Arabidopsis thaliana: one gene and its partners. Each later gene encodes a partner of the first gene's protein in a complex. Each region holds a gene or a part of one and is shown in the gene's direction. Other genes may lie near its edges. The genes, in order: RPL24, AT2G43030, RPL27 and RPL4.

Region 1 (4,012 bases):
ATTCTAAACAGGGCGAAAAAGAGTTTCAGACAGAGGTAAGATATATCTATGGATTCATTTCCGAAGAACAAGTTAGTGTGTAAAACATGTAGCATTAGGCAGACTTTTAAGCATTACAATAGGCTTTCTGAAATCTCTAATACTCAATTTATTAGTTGTGTCATCTATAAGACAGGCTACATGAATGAACAATCTATATATCTTACTCTCTTAGTATCTGCTTAGTTTCTTGAAAAACTCATCCACTCGCCTTAATCTTTTCAGGTTATGTTATTGGGAAGGTTGCATCACCGTAACCTAGTGAACTTGATTGGATACTGTGCAGAGAAAGGCCAACACATGCTTATATATGTTTACATGAGTAAAGGAAGCTTAGCTTCTCATTTATACAGTAAGTAACTACCTGGTTATACATACCATATTAATCTGCTTGTCACTAAATGAACTGTTAATGCAATGTTGAGCTATTCGGTATCTTTGTAGAACATTTATTGAGTTGATGGTTTAGACTTCACTAAATGATGAGCCTTGGTAAAGATTTGAGATGCACTAAAATGGTACTTTTGATACAGGCGAAAAACATGAACCGCTGAGCTGGGATTTGAGAGTATATATTGCTTTAGACGTGGCACGTGGTCTAGAGTATCTTCATGATGGGGTAAGCTGCTTGCTAAAACCATTCACCATTTTAATGCATCTCTTAAACAACAACTTCAAAACTCATGTTCTAATCAATTGTTCCAGGCTGTTCCTCCTGTAATCCACAGAGATATCAAATCTTCCAACATCTTGCTGGATCAATCTATGAGAGCTCGGGTAAACATATCTTCTTTCTCTTTGAAATCTCAGTCTATTGAACCACCTCAAGTTTCTAATGGTGATCTTCTTTAACTTCAGGTTGCTGACTTTGGCCTCTCCAGAGAAGAAATGGTAGACAAACATGCAGCTAACATCAGAGGAACATTTGGCTACCTCGATCCCGAATACATTTCAACAAGAACATTCACCAAGAAAAGCGATGTCTATGGCTTCGGAGTTTTGCTTTTCGAGCTTATAGCAGGAAGAAATCCTCAACAAGGTCTAATGGAATTGGTTGAGCTGGTAACATAAAACTAAAAAGTCCTCGAAATCTCCAATTGTTTTGTTTGGAGAATTGCATGTAAAGACTAAACGTTTTGTTGTTGTTGATGAACAGGCGGCTATGAATGCAGAGGAAAAAGTCGGATGGGAAGAGATAGTAGATTCAAGATTAGATGGGAGATATGATTTACAAGAAGTGAATGAAGTAGCAGCTTTTGCTTACAAATGCATCTCTCGTGCACCTAGAAAACGTCCTAACATGAGGGACATTGTTCAGGTTTTGACTCGTGTTATTAAAGTGAGACATTGCAGAAAGCGGCAGAAGAATTCTCCGTCGCCGTCTCCACGGCTTCCTCCTCCTCCTCCGATAGTGGAGGAGTCAGAAGGTGAGTTAACTGCAAACGGATCATTACGATCAGAAATTCATCGGAGGGATAATTCCTTGGACAGTAGTATAGCTGAAGACGTGATTTTGTAAACAAAATGAAAAAAAAGTCTCAATTTTTTTAATTATTATTAACTTTTAAAATGTGATTTTGTTTTTCAATTCTTTTGGGTTTTTAGACGCTAGATTGTCTATATTTGTGAATGAAAATTTGTTCTTTGTTTTTTCGTGTTAAAACGAGTTCAAAACTGGAGAACCATATTATATATTTGGGCTATGAAAAGAATTGAATTCAAGGCCCAATTAAAACCTAGCCTAGCCCATTAAGGTTTAGTGATAATACAGTGTCGTTTAATCGTTTATCCAATTTTTATCGTCATCTGTGGAACGGATAGGACGAAGGAAAAAGAAGAAGAGTGAAAGTTGCAGAGCGAGAAAAAATGGCAACCATGTCTGCTCTTCAGAGCTCTTTTACTTCTCTTTCTCTATCTCCCAGCTCTTCCTTCCTCGGCCAGCGTTTAATTTCCCCGATTTCCCTCTCCGTCACTTCTCCGGTAACTTTAATTTTCGATTTCTGGTCAATTCAGGTTTTTAATCATTGTTCAAGCTTTTAGGTTATGTAGTTCACTTGTTTGCGTAATAGATTAGGTTCATGTCTTCGCTTTTCATATCCAAACCCATTTCATCAAGTAACTCTCAAATTGAATCTGTGTTGTTGCTCATTTTAAGTTTGAATTTTGCTTACTGGGATATAAAATTTTGTGCATTGTCTATGTTTAAGTGTAACTACTGAATTGAGATGAAAGTTATGAGGACTTAAAACGTCATCCTTTAGACTGATTGACTAGTTATTGGTTTGGAATCAATGGACTAGTACTTGTAAATGCTATACTTTTTAAACGAACGAAAATGTGCGTGTGATGGCTCACATTGAGTAAAGTGGCTATCTTGTTCATTTGGTTGTGATTTTTTGCATTTTCTTATGAAATGCAAAATAGCTGCAATAGGATATGGTTTCTTTGTTACTCTGCTGATTATTTTATACTCATTGCAGGTCAAGCCCGCTGAGAACCCATGTCTTGTTCTTGCAAAGGTTAGTCCACAGATCCATTACATTAACATTCTGCATTATTCGTTAATATACTAGCTTTGAAACCACAATAATTCTTTAGATTTTGTACACATCAAAAGCAAAAAGGAAAACTGTTGATAGATTCTTTTGAAACAATGAGATTGGAAGATGATTTATGTGTTTTGCGTTTTCAGCTCAAGCGTTGGGAACGAAAAGAATGCAAACCAAACAGTCTTCCGATTCTCCACAAAATGCATGTCAAGTTTGGAGATACAGTCAAAGTAATATCTGGACGCGACAAGGGTAAAATCGGAGAGGTTACTAAGATTTTCACTCACAACAGTACCATTGTGATCAAAGATGTGAACCTCAAAACAAAACACATGAAGAGCCGAGAAGAGGGAGAGCCTGGTCAAATTGTCAAGGTCAGAAATCATAGTTTTGTAGCTTTCCTTTACTTTGCAAGATTGGAGTGATGATTGAAGATTGTGCGAAATGTATTATGCTTTCCAGATAGAAGCACCTATCCACAGCTCAAATGTGATGTTGTATTCAAAAGAAAAAGACGTAGTAAGCCGGGTGGGTCACAAGGTACTTGAAGATGGACAGAAGGTAAGATATCTGATCAAAACAGGGGAACTCATCGACACCATTGAGAAGTGGAAGCTACTTAAGGAGGCTAAGGATAAGGAAACCACCCAAGTTGCAGTTACCTCCGCATCTTAGCGTCTCATTTCTTTCTTCTTCAGTGCACTTTTGATATAATAGACCTATGCATTGGATGGATGTATTGAATCCCTTTTAAGGTAAATTATAATATTTCTGCTCCCCTCATGAACACCTCTTAGCATGATTTAACATATTAATCGAACTAAAGCCGGGTACTCTTGAGTCTTGTCTATATCAATATTGATCGTTATTGACAATGTTAGACCGGCCTATCAAATAAACTGAACCAAAAACTAAACATATTAATGACTCCGCCATAACCTTAAGCACCTACAGTAATTTATTCAAAAGATACAATCTTTAAAATGAGTGCACGTTACAAAGTTAAAGCAAACAAAGTTTCGAGGGAACAAAGTGCAAACGCTTCAAAATGGTTAAACCATGTTCTTGAAGTTGTCAGAAATCAGGTCGCTTTTGGGTTTGCGTACCTTCATCTGCGTACACCGTTTCCACTTTACATATAATACCAGTAGATACACGAGGAATAAGCCCCCTTCATATATGATGAGGAAGAAGAATGAGAGACCATGCATCATGTACATCAAAAGGAAATAAGAGAAGACGAGGGGCACCGTAATAATGAAATACCACCACTCATATGCTCTGCCAACTGGTAAGAGAATAAATGAAAATAGGATAGCTATGGAAAACGCTACCGTATTGCATCCCCATAGTTGGAATTCCGAAAACCTCATACCATTCTTTTTAACTTTATCTAGTTTTTCTTTGTCTAGCAGTTGGGCTGC
Region 2 (3,412 bases), on another chromosome or scaffold:
GCAACCAAGTTCCTCAAGAATTGGTAACTCAGATTGGCGTAACGTTTGAGCGTATTTTGGAAGAGGTATGTCCTTCACATTCATTTAGATTTCTTCTTTATTCCTATTCTCGTATTTCTTGATGTTGCAAGTCTTTGATTGATGCTCATGCTAACTAGATTCGTCTATTGCAAACACAGATCAATAAAGTCAGGGATGAGCAGGATGCTGACATTTCAATTTCTCAGGCTTTCTCAATTGTCTTTTCTAGGAAACCCGAGCTGAGGTTTGTATACATAATGTCTCATTTTCTCAATTTCTTTAGGCAATGCACTTTTGCAAGCTTGGTTTCATGGTTGAATTTTGAATTTTCACATCCAGGTTAGAGGGGCTTGCACACAACGTACTTCAATGGTATGTATGCCGCATGGAAGGATGGTTTGCCGCAGATGCTGAAACCATCTCTGCAAAGTGTTGGGACCAGGTTAGTTACATTCTTTCTCTCGTAGTTAAGAGTTTTTTTTGTATAGACTGCTTCTTGAATTTTTGGTTTAACACTCCGAGAAATGTGCAGGAGGAATTGTTGCCTGGTGGACACGGTCTTATGGTTAGAGGGTATCGTCCTGTCATCAATACTCTGGCGAAAGGTCTTGATATCCGAGTAGGCCACAGGTAAGCTTTTGCGTTTTTCAAGAGTTATGGCATTCGTTTAGTGTTTCACAGTCATAACCTCGTGTTTCTCCTTCTCTCAGGGTTACTAAGATTGTCAGGCGGTACAATGGAGTGAAGGTAACGACAGAAAACGGGCAAACTTTTGTTGCGGATGCTGCAGTCATTGCTGTCCCTCTTGGAGTTTTAAAATCGGGAACCATAAAGTTCGAACCTAAGCTACCTGAGTGGAAACAAGAAGCAATCAACGACCTAGGAGTAGGTATTGAGAACAAGATCATACTACATTTTGAGAAAGTCTTTTGGCCGAAAGTAGAGTTTCTAGGAGTGGTAGCTGAAACCTCCTACGGTTGCAGTTATTTTTTGAACCTGCACAAGGCCACGGGTCATCCGGTTCTGGTTTACATGCCGGCTGGTCAGCTTGCCAAAGACATTGAGAAAATGTCTGATGAAGCAGCTGCAAATTTCGCCGTCTTGCAACTCCAGAGAATTCTTCCCGATGCATTGCCTCCGGTACAGTATCTCGTGTCGAGGTGGGGATCTGATGTGAATTCAATGGGATCTTATAGCTATGATATCGTGGGCAAACCTCATGATCTCTACGAGAGGCTTAGGGTTCCAGTGGATAACTTATTCTTTGCCGGTGAAGCGACGAGCTCGAGCTTCCCGGGCTCGGTTCACGGCGCTTATTCAACTGGATTGATGGCAGCTGAAGATTGTAGGATGCGAGTTCTGGAGCGGTATGGTGAGTTGGATCTGTTCCAGCCTGTGATGGGCGAGGAAGGACCTGCCTCTGTACCTCTTCTTATATCTCGTCTCTAAACTCCATCAGTTATCGTTTACTAGAAGGAACCTCAAGTGATGATTGTCTTAATATGAAACTAAAATTATTCTCGTGTCGGATCGTTTAAAACATTCCCAGTCTTATTTTCTCAGTGTTTTTAATTCAATAAATTGGAACATTATATCCTTGTGATATTATTTATATATGATAATCATCTTTAAGAATTCAAGTACTATTTTCTTTTCTCACTTGTGCTAACTAATATAAACACCAATCTTGAAAGAGGTTAAATTGAATACAATAAGAAGAAAAAATACAAAATGAATAAAATCAGATTTAAAGGACCGATGTTGCAAAAGGTAAACCACCGTGTTTTGTAAATATGAGTATCTTCAGCGGTATAATAATAAATTTCATAACTGGAGAAGAAGATAAGAGTGTGGCACAGAGCTTTATCCTCTCTCAGAGTTTCTTCTCCTCTGTGAATCTCCGACAATGGCGATAGCTATGGCGGTTGTTTCTTTCCCATCTCTGCTCAACAAAACAACCTTATCCTCTTCACTCTTCACTCCCACTTTCCTCCCGGCGAAATCCTCTTCACTTCTCATCAAATCATCACCAAAAACCAGATTCGTGGTTTCATCATCCATGGAAGCTGGAATCGGAGTAATGGGGTCAAAACTCGGGATGATGAGTTTCTTCGAAGAAGACGGCACAGTAGTTCCAGTAACAGTCGTCGGATTCCGCGAAGGTAACATCGTAACCCAAATCAAAACCCTAGCCACAGACGGTTACGACGCGGTTCAAATCGGTTACCGTCGTGTACGCGACAAAAAGCTAACTAAACCGGAAACCGGTCATCTCCAAAAAGCCGGTACAATCCCAATGAGACATCTCCAAGAGTTCAGATTAACAAACATCGAAGGATTCGAACCGAACCAGAAGCTTGTGTTCGATGAGATATTCAAAGAAGGTGATCTCGTTGATGTAGCTGGAACCACAATTGGTAAAGGGTTTCAAGGAGGAATCAAAAGGCATCATTTCAAGAGAGGTCAGATGACTCATGGTTCCAAGAGTCATCGAGCTTTGGGTTCGATTGGTGCTGGTACTACTCCGGGAAGAGTTTATAAAGGGAAGAAGATGCCTGGAAGAATGGGAGGGACGAGGACAAAGATTAGGAAGCTTAAGATTGTTAAAGTTGATAAGGAGCTTAATGTTGTCATGATCAAAGGTGCTTTGCCTGGTAAGCCTGGGAATCTTCTTCGTATTACTCCCGCTAAAATCGTCGGAGTTAACATTCCCAAGAACTAGTAGAGAAGAGACTCTGTTTTGTTTTGTAATGTTGACTTGTGTTTATCCATTCCTTGAAAATTTGTATCGAATTGCTAAATCACAGTTTCTTTCTTAGAATTGGAGTTTTTGTATAAGTCGGAAGTATTTCTATGCTAATGTTCTTGAATTGTGATTCAACTGCGATTACAAAACTCGAAAGCGTATCCAAAATTCAGCATCTAAAGTTCTAAACATAAAGAACTAACGAACAATGTAATATATATTTAGTTTGAAGAAATTAAGAAGGTTTAAAATTGTACATGAGATGACAGACAAAAAATGAACATATGAATATAAATCTTTATGATGGATTTTTAAAGAATGGTTGAGAAGCTTTCAATAGGATCAGACTCTTCAAGCATAGAAGCAGCTTGGAAGCAATCAGTAGCATCAGCTATACGTCCATCAGATTTATGAACCATTCCTAAGTAATACCAAGCTTTTCGGTTTGTTGGATCGATCCTCAATGCATCAGAGAGCAAACTTCTAGCCACGGGGAGAGTTGGCTGATGATCTTTCCCTCTTTCGGACAATAACGCTCCAACCGCTACTTTGCAAGGAACCGATGATCCGTCTAGTAATAAACCGTCCAAGAAAGCTGCTAGCGCGGGTTTGAACTCCTTTCGTCCTTCCCACATTCGACCTGAT
Region 3 (3,825 bases), 5.8 Mb from region 1:
AACTAAGTTTGATGAAGATCGTTTGAAAGCGATTGTTTGTGATGCTGTTGAGATTGAGAGAGAGTTTGTTTGTGACGCGCTTTCTTGTGCCTTGGTTGGGATGAATCGTGAGTTGATGAGTCAGTACATTGAGTTCGTTGCTGATAGGTTGTTGGCTGCGCTTGGGTGTGGTAAGGTGTATGGTGTGACTAATCCTTTTGATTGGATGGAATTGATTTCGCTTCAGGGTAAGACCAACTTTTTTGAGAAGAGAGTTGGTGAGTATCAGAAAGCTTCTGTTATGTCTAGTGTTCATGGAAACGCTGCGTTTAATGATGATCATGTCTTCAAGCTTGACGAGGATTTTTAGATTTTGCTTACTTGCTTTATTTTTAGTTTTGTAATTTTCAGTATAATGAAAAACAGATGAAGTTTAATTTGATAATGGACATTTAATTTCTTAATTATTTAACATAGTTTTTACATGGTTAACATATAACTAATCCGGATCCTAGTAATTACATGGGTCTACCCAAATCCAAAAAGGATTGGAGCCAATGACTTTGCTATATATTTCGTTCTTAAGAACATTGCTAGGTTTCTAGCTATATTGGTTTTGCCTCTTTATTGGCAGAGGGAGCACAAAGAGAATCCTCCCCTTTCGACATAAAAATGTTATTTTCTCATGGTCTTTTGGATGATTAGCAAGACTTACTCTTAAGTTTTTGCATAAGTATCTTACATCACTTTCTAACTCAACCTTCGAAATATGCATTTGTTTCAAACAATCCAGTGTTCATTTCCAAGTAGGTGTAGTGACTTATGATAAGAAAGCATGTCGATTATGGTAAAAATATTTTAGTGGCTGTTCACAATAATTCTATGAGAGAGAATCATTAGTAGGCAAATTGAATAGGAAACAGACATGATATCAAATTCTTTTGAAGGCAGAAAGAAATGAAAATATAGAAAACATAACTAAAAGAGAATAAACAACCAATTACCATTTACCGTTCCAAAGACCTTCATCGTCGAATTTCAAGAACAATGAAGGTCTTTGAAAGATACTTTTGTCAATAAATATGAAAACCATAAACAATTAGTAGAGATGAGAGATCACTATAACTCTCCTATGACTTTCCATCCAATCAAAAAGAAAAGTTTGTGTCCATGTCTCTATAACTCTATCCAACTTCTTTAAGATAAGATCATTTTCTCGCTTATTACACCAAGTATACAGCGGACCATGGGATGATAGGTCTCAAACAAAGCAATAGTTTACCACTGATTGAAAGTCTCTCATTCCATTGGTATAATAGGGTTGTCTTCAGCTCTAGAATGCTCCACAAGTTCTAAAATCTCATTAAAATCTCCAAACATTATTTAAGGCTTGCTACTAATGACAGGAGAGTCATAGTGATCTCTCATCTTGTTCATAATACTTTTTTCTCCTCTAACCAACTAGACAGTCTATGAAACTCAAATAATATAATTTTTAATTTTCGGTCAAAACTGTAAAAACATGTCAAAATCAAATAATATTTTTTTTTTGCCAAATCAGAAAATTACATTTTTCCGCCAATGTAAAAATAATTTTTAGAGTGACATTGTCAGTATAAATCCTAATTTATGTTTTAATATTATAGCTAAAGTCTATAATTATTTTTGGCTGCTTCTTGCATATTATTATTCTAAGTTTGGTTTTTGTTTTTATCTGAGAAATTTCTACTATATAATGAATATTTGAAACTGTAGTCTATATATTTAGATTTAATATTTTATACAACAAGTTGATATGGCCGAGTTGGTCTAAGGCGCCAGATTAAGGTTCTGGTCCGAAAGGGCGTGGGTTCAAATCCCACTGTCAACATTCACTTTTTTCTCTTTTTCCATTATTTACTTGCTGACGTGTACTCACCTTATCTTACATTATTTGATGACGTGTAATTTTAGTGGTCACTAATCGAGAGAGTGAGACGAAACGATAAGGAGAAGAACTTCTTCTTCAACCTCAGAAAACCCTAATTTCTCCATTTCGAAACTCCAACGAATTCTCTGGTGATTTTACCAATGGCGATGGCAACATCGATGAGTTTGAATCTAATTGGGGCATTCAAAGGCTTGTCTCTTTCTTCGACTTCGTCTTTTCTTAGAGGCGATTTGAGTTTTTCCCCCAAAACCTCTTTCACGGTGACTCTTCCTCTGGAAAATCTTCAAGCTCCGATTCCGTTGACAATTGAATCGGCCCATAAGAAAGGAGCTGGTAGCACCAAGAACGGTCGTGATTCTCCTGGGCAACGACTCGGCGTCAAGATCTACGGTGACCAAGTTGCTAAACCTGGTGCTATCATTGTTCGTCAACGTGGCACTAAGGTAACACTTAAGAACACAGAATTGTTGAAATTGAGAACCTCTTAAGCTCCTCTTTCAATTCTCTTCTAATTTCACCGCAACTCTGTCAATTTGGTCAGTTTCTTATGGGTTTAGCTCTCAAGCTCTGTTTTCAGATTCCATTCTCGAACACATCTGGGTTTAGGATGAATTTTCGTATTTAGTAGCTCTTGTTTCTGATGCCATTGCCATTTCTCTGGAAGTTCTACGTTATGTTTGTGTTTAGGATGGAACTATATTGTTTGAGAAGATTGATTCATGAATGGTGATGTTTGGTGCAGTTCCATGCTGGGAAAAATGTTGGGATTGGTAAAGATCATACCATCTTCTCTTTAATCGATGGATTAGTCAAGTTCGAGAAGTTTGGTCCTGACAGGAAGAAGGTATACCTGTAGTTATACTGAGTAAGGTTTATAAGCTTTCTTAATCTTCTAGGATGTTAAAGGAAATGAGACTTGTTTTTGCAGATAAGTGTGTATCCAAGAGAAATTGTACCAGAGAATCCCAATAGCTACAGAGCAAGAAAGAGAGAAAACTTCAGATTGCAAAGGGAGAAGAAGAAGGCGAGACGCGAGAATTACTCGTACACACTTCCTACACCAGAACTTGTTCTTGCATCTGCCTCAGTCGATGATGCTGAAGCCAATCCGGAGTGCTAGAAGATTGAATGTGGAGTTTCCTTGTCTCTTTTTGTTTAGTCTTGTTTATGAAAAATGATCCTTTCAGAGTATTAAGAGTTGGTTGTATTGTCGAATCCAAGCCTCTCTTTTGTCAAATTGAGTCCCAAGCAGGCGGATTTTTACCCAACTTGAGTTATTAGTGTAATCAAATGGTTATTGTTAATTAGTCAAAGCCTCAAAGGTTTTAATTTAGTGAATTTCTCTTCCAACTTAGTAATTCTGAATCATTGATAAGAGAGACCACCAAACCTTTGAATGCCCCAATTAGATTTAGTCAAGTATAAATCTAGTTCAAGTGTCTATTTGAGGTTTTTTTATTATAAAAATTATAAAACTTATTTGGATCCCAAAAATGGATCCATTGTTAGTCTAAGAAGCCGAAGACTTTATGGGCCTTCTAGCGAAATAATGGGTTTTAGCCCAATTACTTAGCATTTCGGAATATGTAGATAGTGGTACAAAAAAGAAATTGAATAATATTCATTTTCGTCTATCATTGCATAATTAGTGGAATGAAATTATTATTCTATGTTTTTTTTTTTTCATTTATCTATATCTTGCTCATCTTGAATCCATCAATTTCGCTAACGTTTTACCTGTACCATATTAGATCCTTTGTGTTATCTTTAGGCCATATTTCACCAGCTTGAGGTCAAATACTTATACACATGTATGTAACGATATATATATGTAAGATGACGATATATTATTGAATAACACTAAAGGCCTAGAGCAAAAATAGTAATTGATGAGAAGTTTTAAATTCTAGGAGCAG
Region 4 (3,894 bases), on another chromosome or scaffold:
CCATTTTACCCAAAACGATCAGAGAGAACATCTTTTCTGCACTGTGATGAGCATGATTCAAGACACATTAATCCAAACGCTCAATGAATATGGAGATCACTGGTTCCAAACGAAAATCACACATTGGTATCATCAAACATGAAATAAGAACCAAAGTCTTTAACCAGCCTGCAAAAATATTCGGCAGAATCGCAGGATATAGGACTGTTCATGTCTGAGACAGAGCATACTACCATACCTAATCAGAGCATGGTTCAAACAATAAATCAACAGTAAAGTGATTCACATTAGAACATTAACCCTAAGAACCCAATAGCTTGATTCAAGAAACTGAATGAAGGAAAGAAATGAGAGATGTTTTAGAAACATGTACAAAGGTACAGAAGGGGTAACACCGAATATCAGCTAGAAAGAAGCAACAAATCAATTCACAAACGAGACATACATATAGACATAACATATACTTCACCAAATTCATATTTTGTCATCAGCCATTTCCTGGTGTTCTAACACCAACAAATCTGATGATAAGTAAAGCCTTAGAAACGCCGCACACTTGTGAAATTCAACAACTTTTTGCCATCCTCAACATTCACGGCGATAATCACGGCCATAGCTGTAGTTTGGCCTAGCTCCGAAATCACTCTCAGACCTCTCTGCAGCAGCTCTCTCTTCCTCTAAGCTCAATCCACCCATCGTCTTCTGCAACTGCCTGTGATCATAAGGAGAGTAATCGACTGGTGCCGATGGACCATTAGGCACTCCGTAGCTAGACAATCGCGAGCCCATAGGTGGAGCTTGTGGCTTGTACTCGGTAACCAGAAAGGCATCAACGGGTGCTGAGGGCCCACTAGGCGGTGGACCGTAGTTAGAAAACCGAGGAGGAGCTAAAGGAGGCTGCTTGTGATCAATCGATGAGAAGGCATCAACGGGAGCAGATGGGCCACTTGGGAGGCCGTAATTGGAGGCACGATCGTACATTGAACGTGGTGGAGGAGGCGGATAATAATACCCGGAATAGTAGTGATCAGTGAATGCGTAAGGAGACGGAGACGGTGACTGTGAGAATTCTCTGTAGTCACGCTGAGGAGATGGAGCGGTGATCGGTGCTTGAGGAGGAGGAGGAGGAGGAGGGCTAGGGGAGTAATAATGGTTTCCTTGAGGGGCAGAATAGTAATCTAGTGGTTGAGATTGAGGACGTGGCGGAGGATGCTGCGGTGGAGGGATTGGTCTGTCTTTGATCGCGAGCTTCAAACGAATCTTCCCCTGTGGTCGACCCGATGGACGAACCAGCTCGAGCGAGTTGATCAATTCCGGAATCATTGACCCGTCCGAGTCAATCAAACGAGCTAGAGGAAACCTAACCGATCCGACGAGGGTTTTCGCCAGATCCGAAGAATTGGAATGAAAAACCTCGATGTTGAGGACCGATTCGTGGACAGATCGGGTGAGAGGAAGAGTAATCCGCTCGTTCCACACCGGTTTGATGGAGGAGGAATCATCGGAGCGGGTGGAGAGAGGGTGGTCTTGGTCAAGATACAGAACAACGTAGGGTTTCAGGTCACCGTTACGCCAGTTGACATTCTTCAGGTGCTTGGCAGAGACGACGGTGACAACCAGGTCGAGTGGCTCCGACGAAGTCATGAATACGGTGCGTTTCAAGACGAGACGGTGGCTTACGCGGTGGTCTTAGCTAACGTGCGCTCGTATCTCAAATATCTGTATCAAAGTCTCAGCTATCATCAACTATCATCGTTTTATCACAGAGTTTTATGTCTCAAAAAACCTGCTGGCTATATAAGAGGCTTTTGACTTTTGGAGTTTGACTCTTTCTTACTAGCGACAGCTGGAGTTATTCATGAACAGGATAGTTATATCCTTATGTCCAAACAGATGCATAAATTCTCACCAAGCACAAGATAGGCATTTGAAGAGTGGATAACACTTTCTCAGTCTTTCTTCTTCTTCTTCGTTGTGATAGGTCAGGTCAGGGAACAACAATGGCTTCTTCTGCAACAGCACCAAATTCGCTATCTTTCTTCTCATCTTCTCTCTTTTTATCCTCCTCTCACCAAATCCCTAAAACCTACATTTCCGTTTCAAAACTCGGCTCCGGCAGAGTCTCGAAGCCGCTTTCTGTCTCTTCCCAGCTAGCGACTCTACCGATTCTATCATTCGAAGGAGAGAAGGTCGGAGAGACGTATCTAGACCTCAAAGCGGCGCCGGAGGATACCGCGCGTGCCGTTGTGCACCGAGCCATCGTGACGGACCTGAATAACAAGCGGCGAGGTACTGCTTCCACACTGACTCGCGGTGAAGTTCGTGGTGGTGGAATTAAACCTTACTCACAGAAGAAAACTGGCCACGCGAGGCGTGGATCTCAGAGAACACCGTTACGTCCCGGTGGAGGTGTGGTGTTTGGGCCAAGACCTAAGGATTGGTCAATTAAAATCAATAGGAAGGAGAAGAAGCTAGCGATATCTACGGCGTTATCGAGTGCGGCATCTGCGGAAGGTGGTGCGATAGTGGTGGAGGAATTTGGGGAGAAGTTTGAGAAGCCCAAGACTAAAGATTTCTTAGCTGCGATGCAAAGGTGGGGATTGGATCCCAAGGAGAAAGCTATGTTCTTGATGATTGATGTGGATGAGAATGTGGCGAAATCGAGTAGGAACATTGGAACCTTGAGGATGTTGACGCCTAGGACACTGAATCTGTTTGATATTTTGAACGCTGATAAGCTTGTTCTGACTCCTGCGGCTGTGGAGTTCTTGAATGCGAGGTACGGTGTTGATGCGGTGGAGGAAGAAGATGACGATGAAGATGAGACGGAAGGTTAGTGTTTTCTTGAAAGGAACTGGCTTGTTGTCGAAATTTGATGTTTTGAATGTTGTGTTTGATCGTTTTTGTCTGGTTTTAATTTCTTGAAGAGGTAGAAATATGATGTGTTAATATGGAAAAGTAATTATTTGTTTGTGTTATGAAGGGTCAGAGGAAGCTTAAGAATGAGTAGCACCCGTAGTTCCAATTGCTTCAAGTGTGGCTTAATTATGAGTTTAATCTTGAGTACATCTTCTCACTCTCCTTGATGAGGTCTTCTCTTTCCTTTTTGTGTCACAACAAGAGAAATGTGTATTTACTTTTAGAGTTTTTCTTAAGAGATCATCCTCAATTTCTTGTCATACTGATTTTGTGTCCAACTCTCAATGAAGGAGTAAGGAGTGAAATTAGATATCATGAGTAACGTTGATTGTGTGTGTATCAGTTAAGATTGAGCAACAAAGATTGACTTTAGTCATCAAGTTAACAAGAAAGAGTGGCTATTATAAGCTTTAAGCGTTGATGTTCATCTTGGTTTTGAAAATCATGAATAGTCTCACACAAATCTGTTAACAACTTGCTAAAAAAAAGGATTAGCTAGAAAACTTAGGAAGTGTCAATAGTGTATGTTATTTACAGACATTTGATGGGTCTTGGTGGGCTTAAGAAGATAGCCCAATCTTTTGAAGAAAGAGATATGAGATGCAAAATCCATGAACTTTAAGGGTCAATTTCTGAACCAGTAAAAAATGTGGTTAAAAGTGTAAGAAAACAAGAATCTTTGGAAACATGTGTAAGAAAGCAACTAATTTAACTCCCGCCCTCTCTTACCAGTTTTCTATTTTGTCTTCTCCGTCCTTACCGTGTGTTCTGAAAACTGAAAAAGAACCAAAACGAAAATCTAAAAAAACCCTTGAAAAATCTATTTTTTATTGACTGGTTATTGTTTCAAATGAAAGCTTGACCTCTCTCTTATTGATCAATTTTCGCTTCTTCAATTAAACCATATTTGTTTTTCCCTTTCAAGCATTTTGATTCTCTAGGACAAAACACAAACCGCCATAGACAGAATGCTTT

Evidence for each region.
Region 2: RPL24 (region 1) and AT2G43030 share a complex: the UniProt entries of both Arabidopsis thaliana proteins name them as parts of the 50S ribosomal subunit.
Region 3: RPL24 (region 1) and RPL27 share a complex: the UniProt entries of both Arabidopsis thaliana proteins name them as parts of the 50S ribosomal subunit.
Region 4: RPL24 (region 1) and RPL4 share a complex: the UniProt entries of both Arabidopsis thaliana proteins name them as parts of the 50S ribosomal subunit.

The regions. Positions count from the first base shown.
Region 1 is NC_003076.8:22,181,141-22,185,152, forward strand, and holds RPL24 (Translation protein SH3-like family protein), read left to right. Parts: upstream 1-1,702; 5' UTR 1,703-1,905; coding exon 1,906-2,019; intron 2,020-2,519; coding exon 2,520-2,558; intron 2,559-2,731; coding exon 2,732-2,962; intron 2,963-3,050; coding exon 3,051-3,263; 3' UTR 3,264-3,470; downstream 3,471-4,012. Other genes in the region: CRLK1 (Protein kinase superfamily protein), read left to right, coding at 1-35, 265-391, 573-658, 745-816, 898-1,101, 1,196-1,558; ANK (ankyrin), read right to left, coding at 3,641-4,012. UniProt on the Arabidopsis thaliana protein: One of two assembly initiator proteins, it binds directly to the 5'-end of the 23S rRNA, where it nucleates assembly of the 50S subunit. Required for optimal plastid performance in terms of photosynthesis and growth.
Region 2 is NC_003071.7:17,892,971-17,896,382, forward strand, and holds AT2G43030 (Ribosomal protein L3 family protein), read left to right. Parts: upstream 1-1,825; 5' UTR 1,826-1,927; coding exon 1,928-2,743; 3' UTR 2,744-2,912; downstream 2,913-3,412. Other genes in the region: PAO2 (polyamine oxidase 2), read left to right, coding at 1-65, 180-265, 361-463, 554-651, 732-1,470; NPG1 (tetratricopeptide repeat (TPR)-containing protein), read right to left, coding at 3,079-3,407. UniProt on the Arabidopsis thaliana protein: One of the primary rRNA binding proteins, it binds directly near the 3'-end of the 23S rRNA, where it nucleates assembly of the 50S subunit.
Region 3 is NC_003076.8:16,408,817-16,412,641, forward strand, and holds RPL27 (ribosomal protein large subunit 27), read left to right. Parts: upstream 1-1,965; 5' UTR 1,966-2,049; coding exon 2,050-2,352; intron 2,353-2,651; coding exon 2,652-2,753; intron 2,754-2,837; coding exon 2,838-3,029; 3' UTR 3,030-3,298; downstream 3,299-3,825.
Region 4 is NC_003070.9:2,247,190-2,251,083, forward strand, and holds RPL4 (ribosomal protein L4), read left to right. Parts: upstream 1-1,777; 5' UTR 1,778-2,000; coding exon 2,001-2,832; coding exon of another isoform or gene 2,833-2,837; exon of another isoform or gene 2,838-2,983; coding exon 2,984-3,000; 3' UTR 3,001-3,340; downstream 3,341-3,894. Other genes in the region: AT1G07310 (Calcium-dependent lipid-binding (CaLB domain) family protein), read right to left, coding at 586-1,644. UniProt on the Arabidopsis thaliana protein: This protein binds directly and specifically to 23S rRNA. May play a role in plastid transcriptional regulation.